2 linked regions of the Arabidopsis thaliana genome follow. The protein of the gene in region 2 purifies or fractionates together with the protein of the main gene of each other region. This does not show direct contact. Each region holds a gene or a part of one and is shown on either strand. Other genes may lie near its edges.

Region 1 (3,752 bases), on a different chromosome or scaffold from region 2:
GACGGGAAGGAGAATTGGCTGTCTATGGTCTCTCCAACGCATTATCTGGTTTCGAAATGGACGAAGAAACACGGAGTAAAATGCTTGCTGATCTCGAGAACTATGCACGAGGTATTGTTGAAACCAAGGCAAAGGAAGAGGCTGGAAGAGCGATGATGCGCATGAAGGATAGGTGTCACCATTTTACTTGTCTTTCATCATTTCCTTGTCCGATAACTTCCATCTCTTACAGAGCTTTCTGATTAAACAAACTTCTATCCAGATTTGCTACAATCTTCAGCCATGATTCTGATTCAATGCCACGTGTTTGGACTGGAAAGGAGGACATCAGAGCAATTACAAAAATGGCTCGTTCTGCGGTATGAGACCTACCTGATATAGCAATATCTCAGCACCTATTCTTTGAATCAATCGCAAATTTCTCGAGATTTTGATATGACCCTTGTTCTCTTTTTCAGTCCTTGAAGCTGCTGTCTGTTATGGCTGTTATACGCTTGGATGATGAACTCGACAATATTGAGAAGACATTGACGCTAGCTCTGTTTAATTCTACGGGCAACAATGCTACTAGCAAGAGCATCAGCACAATTGATTCACTTGCCTCAAGCACTTGGGAGAAGGTGACTAAAACCTTACTCACTGTATATAATGAAAACACAAAAGGTCTCATATTTAGTACTCACACCTTTGAGATATAAAAGATCCTTACTGTTACCTTGTTATTATCAGGTTGCACCAGAAAAGACGTTGATCACACCTGTGCAGTGTAAATCACTGTGGAGGCAATTTAAGAACGAGACAGAATATACCGTTACACAGGCCATTTCTGCACAGGTAATCTTTGCAATCCACACTTTCAAGCATATCTTCCGTTTGCTCATTCACATGAGCTGATGTTAAAATTTGGCAATGCTACAAAACGTTTTTGAATATCTTTTTTTGGTCATGTCGTTTCTAGCTTCTTGTCTCCTTTCTCATCTGTTCTTTAATCAGCTAACACCCGGAAAAATAATTGAGGTTTCAATCTGAATAAAGTCTCCTTGGATTTCAGGAAGCTAACCGACGGAATAACAACTGGCTGCCACCTCCATGGGCAATCCTTGCCCTGGTTGTTCTTGGATTTAATGAATTTATGACTCTCTTAAGGTACCCTCCTTGTCCATTCTTTTGAATTGACTCGGCGGCTTTTTCATACAATCAAGATTCCGTACTCACTTTGGCTCTTCGTGCCTGCATCTCTCATGGCAGAAATCCTCTATGGCTCTTAGTTCTATTTGTCGGATACCTTGTATCCAAAGCCTTGTGGGTGCAATTAAATATTTCAGGAGAATTCCAAAACGGCGTGGTATGAGCACGATATCCAACATCCATATTTTTACTTTTGCCCCTGTTCTTCATTTGATCTCAATTATAATCTCACCGAAATGCCAATGTTTCATCTATGATCAACAACAGCTACCTGGACTTCTCTCTTTGTCAACCAAATTCATTCCAACGGTCATGAACCTCCTCAAAAAGCTTGCGGAAGAAGGACAAGCACCACCCACAAATAGCAACCAATCAATGAACTCTACAGCTCAATCCGAGGTTACAACCAATGGAGAAAGCAGCAGCAGCAGTAGCTCTGGTTCATCTCCAGCAAAAAACGTACCCATTGATACAAGTGCATAGAACAAAGAAGTATACAAGCTTAAGCTGTTGTGCTAGCCCACGAAGCTAGAAACTTAAAATTCGTTACCCTTTCAAAAAGGTAGCTCTCAGTTTTGGTGTTGATCAGAGAGATTCACCGAGAGCCATATGTTTTATGTCTCCGATGGCATTGGTTCCCTCTTGCAGGTGTCAAAGTGATCTTGTATGTTCCTAGACTAAGATTCTGATGCAGACAAAAACAAAAAAACTCATGATTTGTTTGCGAGTTCTGTAGTGATGTGGTTATTGTATCTGATAAAAAGAATGTTACTTGAAGAAAAACCGGTTTTTGATTAAGTGAAATTCAGTTTGGTTTTTGTTGATTGAAGAGAATTTCAGGTTCTCATTGCAAGTTTATAGTGTAATCATGTTAGCATAGAGTTTTTGGGCCATTGGAAAATTCATAATGGGCCTAAGATAACGGATGAAACTGTAAACCTAATTATGGGAGATGCAGAAACAGAGCACAAAGAAAGTTCCAGACTATTAGCTTTTCTAAAAGAAAAAAGTTTCACTCTTTGGAGGTTGGAACTTAATTCCTTGATTAAGAAACCCCAGAAAAACCCTAAACCCTTGAAGCGTCTCCTTCTCTAGTTCTTTGCAAGCGGAAATGTATCGAGTGCTATCAAAGTTATCTTCTTCAATTGGGTACGTTTCGTTCTTTCATTCAACGAACTTATTCAAAACTTGTATTTTTCTCGATCAATATTTTTTGATGAGCAGAGCTTAATTTTCTTCTTCCTCTTTCTGGGTTTGATTGTCTTGCAGCTCGTCTACTTCCAGGAAACTGGTGAGTTTCGTGAACTCTCTCTGTCTTTTTGCGAGTTTGATTGCATTTCGTTTATGGGCATTCTTGTTGGTAACAGAGAAATTGCTAGAAATGTGTCAAATTACTAGTCCTGATAGTTTATGCAATGAAAAAAATAGGGTTTACATCAAAATCTCCACCTTAAGCTACTTAATTTGCAAAATTGCTCTGCTTTTATTGGTTTCAGATGCAATAGAAGATCTTCTAGTTCCGGAATGATTAGCTTGAATTGGCCGTACCCTGTATCAAACTAATTAATTCCGATTTTGATTTTCTTTTGGTGTTCTCTCTTACCATGAAGGTTTCTGGGCGGATTATAAGTAGCAGAAACTATGCGGCCAAGGATATCAGTTTCGGGATCGGAGCTCGGGCAGCTATGTTGCAGGGTGTATCCGAGGTTGCAGAAGCTGTGAAAGTCACTATGGGACCAAAGGTATATATATTTCGTTCTCACAAGGTTTAGATCAATGTAGAGTGGATTGTTTTTGAAACAGTCTTCAAATTCAATATCTTTTTTTTTTAATTCTGTGGTGTAGGGAAGAAATGTGATAATTGAGAGCAGTTATGGCGGACCAAAGATCACAAAGGATGGTGTCACCGTGGCAAAAAGCATATCATTTCAAGCTAAAGCTAAGAACATTGGTGCCGAACTCGTCAAACAGGTTGCAAGTGCCACTAACAAGGTTGCTGGAGATGGTAATATTTTCTCTTTTGAGTTCATAATCATGGATAAGTTTTTATTGAAAACATACGGTGAAGAGATAATAGTAAAGTCTTAATTTCTGCTTGCCTTCCTTTCGTTATATAGGTACCACTTGTGCCACTGTTTTGACTCAGGCGATACTCATCGAAGGCTGCAAGTCGGTGGCTGCAGGTGTAAATGTGATGGATTTGCGTGTTGGAATTAATATGGCAATTGCTGCAGTTGTCTCTGATTTGAAAAGCAGAGCTGTTATGATTAGCACCCCAGAAGAGATCACACAGGTGAATTTAGAAACATATTCATAAGTCAGGAATTGTGAATGCTATACCAAAGGTTGATCTATTACTGCTACTGCATATGTTCCTTTGATAGGTTGCCACTATATCTGCAAATGGGGAGCGTGAAATAGGGGAACTAATTGCAAGAGCCATGGAGAAAGTTGGAAAGGAAGGGGTTATCACTGTTGCTGTAAGCTTACTTTTCTTTTCATGCCTTATAATAGATCACTTGATGGTTGTCTGATCGCTGTGTTATTCTTCAAATACCCAGGAT
Region 2 (3,752 bases):
TTTAAACCTGAAGCCTATTCTTTTGATCTTTGCAGCTTTTGGAGGCTCTATTTGTGGAATGTAGGCGGCACGGAGAGATTATGGTAACGAAAGGGATTATAAATTCAAAAGACATTGAAGAAGCTAAATCTAGCAAAGGCAGTCAAGTGATCAGCTTTGGCTTACCTGCTTATTCTCTTCTTCACGAGCTTTTACGCTCTATCAAATCTAACTCCACCGGTTTATTACTCGGTATGTTTCAACAGTTTTCTGTCAATTTTCATAACCGCATTATCTAGTAACTATTTGAACATCATCAAGAAACAAACAAAACCGTTTCTGTGTTTTTGTTTAGGTGACGGTGTAACGGAGATAACTACCAGAAACCGCCCAAAAGATGCGTTTTTTGATTGGTTTCTGAATCCGTTTTTGATCCTTAAAGACCAGATCGAAGCTGCAAACCTATCCGAGGAAGAAGAAGAGTATCTTGGTAAATTGGTATTACTCTTTGGAGATTCAGAGAGACTTAAAAGCTCCATTGTTGAATCTGAATCTCCTCCTCTAACTGAACTCAGAAAAGCCGAACTTGATGCCTTTGCTCGCAGGTAAAAAAGGCAAAAAAAAAAACACACACAATCTTGTTACGGCTTTCTACTTCGGATTCTAAGATGTGTTTTTGGTTTTGGTTAGGCTTCAAGGATTAACCAAATCAGTATCAAGATATCCAACATTCAGAAGACATTTTGTGGAACTAGTCAAGAAACTATCAAATGATCTAGACAATAAACATAACCGTTTTGAAGGCGGTTCGAGATCAGTTCCACGTCCCGGGAAAACGGTGTCTCGGATTTTCAGCCAAAAATCGTTCAAGAAAAAGACAAGTAGCAATGGGTCAGATCAAGATTCACCAAACAGAGGGTTAAGAGACATTGATATTGTGTAAGTAAATGTTATGCGACCAGAATTAGACCGAAACTTCGTCTGCTTTTAGCTCTGTAATGATAAATTTATACAGATTCCAAGTGAATATGAAACTGTTTCATTTATCTAACAAATGTTTTACATTCAGCTTTTGCTTGATGATGTGTTGTTTCTCAGAAACAGCAGAACCGTTTCTTCTGCAATAGAAATAGCAAGCTTTTAGTTTTTCTTTCACTTTAGACCTCATTTGATCTAAAACATAACAAACATAGGCTGATGTTTTCGTTAGTCATAAAATCTTGAGCAATTGGGATTAGAAATGTTACCGTAGGTTCATCTTGAGATTTGTTATTGTCACGGCGTTGTGAGGCGGCACGACCACTTGCGTTTGTCTTTTTGTCGTCTCGAGCTTTAGCGAATATAACCGTAAATCCTTCGGCTGATGCTGGATCGTTCACGTCCCATTCTCCAAATTTTGGTAATGGTCGATCTTGTTGTTGTCGTTGTTGATTATTCTGAAAGTTTCCAATCACAAAAATGTTTGATTTCTATTATAATCCAACGAAAACACACATGAAAATGCTATTTTTTGTATCAAATTTGTGAAACAAATGAGAAAGAAATGAGAAAGATCTTACCGATGCCATTCAAAGATTGTGTAAAAGATGCAAACAGAACATGAGATGATCTTTCTTCAAACAACAAGAAAACTTGTTTGTCTTCTCTTTTAGTTTTTGTTTTCTTAAAAGAATTTGATTACGTTTAAAGAATTAGAATTTGAGAACAGATTAGCGTTTTCTGAAAGTTTAAATATAGGTTAACGTTTTAATTATTGTTGAAACTTGAAAACAGAAAACACCAATCTTTTGTAGCGAAACGGAACGCTTTTTCTCGTACCGTCTTTTGTTTTCGAGTGAACTTCATCGTATCAAAACTCGCCACGTGATCTACACACTTCTCGAGGCGAACACGCGCATTTCAGAACTTATCCATTAATCTCTGTGATTAACCTATAAGCCGGTATTTATAAACGGTCACGATTTTCCAAGTTTTTTAATCAACGGTCGTTATTACGTAGACGAAGCTAAGCCTCACATCTACAAATACGTATACATACATTTTTACATAATAATTAATTAATAATTACAGGTTATTAACAAATTAATCATTTTTAATAGACTATTAAAAAAACAATTTCATTTCATTTGCTCTCTTCTCCGAGAAAATGGCGTTTGGTTTGATCGGAAGAGTTGTTGGAACCAAATCATCACGATTATCCACGGCGGCGCGATTGATTCCGGCGCGATGGACATCAACAGGATCAGAAGCACAATCGAAAGCTTCAACCGGCGGCGGAGGAGCGAGTCTGAAGACGTTTCAGATCTATCGATGGAATCCAGATAATCCTGGAAAGCCAGAGCTTCAAGATTACAAAATCGATCTCAAGGATTGTGGTCCAATGGTTCTAGATGCTTTGATTAAGATTAAGAACGAGATGGATCCATCGCTCACTTTCCGTCGCTCTTGCCGTGAAGGTATTTGTGGTTCGTGTGCTATGAACATTGATGGATGTAATGGTCTTGCTTGTTTAACGAAGATTGAATCTGGATCTAAAGAGACGACGATTACGCCGTTGCCGCATATGTTTGTGATTAAGGATTTGGTTGTGGATATGACGAATTTTTATAATCAGTATAAGAGTATTGAGCCGTGGTTGAAGAGGAAGAATCCAGCATCTGTTCCTGGGAAAGAGATTTTACAGAGTAAGAAAGATAGAGCTAAGCTTGATGGAATGTATGAATGTATTCTCTGTGCTTGTTGTAGCACGTCTTGCCCTAGCTATTGGTGGAACCCTGAGTCTTATCTTGGTCCAGCTGCTTTGCTTCATGCCAACAGGTAAACTTAATCTTGTTTTCTCATAATGGATTCACTAATCAAAGTAGTTTTTTGAAGATATTGTAGGGCTTGTTGGTAGTTTACATTAGTACGTTATATGGGGTCACTTAGATTGCTTAAGTTTCTGTAGTTGTAGTTTAGAGCTGAAGGAAGGTTCTGTTTTGAGATTTGCTTGAGAATTTTGTTGGTTTGAGCAGTAAGAGTTGGTAGACGGATTATGTATGGCTTGGGTTGTTTTACTTGTTTTACATTCATTATGCATTGTCAATAGGGTTGTTTTTACTCCTTTAGTGTTAGTGTGGTACTGTGGGTTTAGCTCTTTGTTCACTGAGGAAAGGTGCTAAGGGATCTTTGTGCTTCTTCACCTGTCTGTAGAAAACCCCAAGTTCAATGGTCTGATTGTATCCATGTCATTATGTATGGTCATTTAGGTTGTCTTGCTCCTTTAGTTGTAGTGTAGTTTAGCCTACTTTGTTCAACTGAAATGGAGGAGGTATCTCTGAAGAAAGGTGCGAAGTACTCTTTGTGCTTCTTCATCTGTCTCTGTAGAAAATCTCAGATTCAACGGTCTGATTGTAACTTTGTCATTATGTATGGGCGTTTAGGTTCTCTTACTCCTTTACTGTAGTGTAGTTTAGCTTTATACTGAAATGGAGGAAAGGCCTCTAGAGTAAGCTGCTAAGGACTTTTTGTGCTTCTTCAGATCTCTAAATAGAAAACCGCAAGTTCAACTATCTGATTATATCTGTGTCATCATGTAAAGATATATACTATATAGGTTGTTTCTGTTCCTTTAGCTGTTGTGTAGTTTAGCCGATTTTGTGCAATTGAAATGGAGGAGAGACCTCTAAAGGAAGGTGCTGAGGACTCTTTGTGCTTCTTCAAATGTTTCTTGAATAAATTGCAACTATATGATTGTATCTGTGTTATTAGGTTAAAGTTTTGATCTCTCAAGG

What was found. The genes of interacting proteins can lie anywhere in the genome.
Region 1: the proteins of SDH2-2 (region 2) and HSP60-3A purify together in Arabidopsis thaliana (affinity purification with mass spectrometry, with the first as the bait; one large-scale study listed by BioGRID). This does not show direct contact.

The regions. Positions count from the first base shown.
Region 1 is NC_003074.8:4,563,681-4,567,432, reverse strand, and holds the start of HSP60-3A (heat shock protein 60-3A), read left to right. Parts: upstream 1-2,097; 5' UTR 2,098-2,299; coding exon 2,300-2,337; intron 2,338-2,457; coding exon 2,458-2,479; intron 2,480-2,798; coding exon 2,799-2,930; intron 2,931-3,033; coding exon 3,034-3,193; intron 3,194-3,305; coding exon 3,306-3,481; intron 3,482-3,572; coding exon 3,573-3,668; intron 3,669-3,749; coding exon 3,750-3,752. Other genes in the region: RHD3 (Root hair defective 3 GTP-binding protein (RHD3)), read left to right, coding at 1-172, 263-359, 459-620, 730-834, 1,052-1,146, 1,249-1,345, 1,456-1,671.
Region 2 is NC_003076.8:16,279,337-16,283,088, forward strand, and holds the start of SDH2-2 (succinate dehydrogenase 2-2), read left to right. Parts: upstream 1-2,057; 5' UTR 2,058-2,125; coding exon 2,126-2,796; coding exon of another isoform or gene 2,797-2,800; exon of another isoform or gene 2,801-3,653; intron 3,654-3,752. Other genes in the region: AT5G40640 (uncharacterized protein), read left to right, coding at 36-231, 335-584, 670-922; AT5G40645 (RPM1-interacting protein 4 (RIN4) family protein), read right to left, coding at 1,074-1,097, 1,227-1,415, 1,539-1,547. UniProt on the Arabidopsis thaliana protein: Iron-sulfur protein (IP) subunit of succinate dehydrogenase (SDH) that is involved in complex II of the mitochondrial electron transport chain and is responsible for transferring electrons from succinate to ubiquinone (coenzyme Q).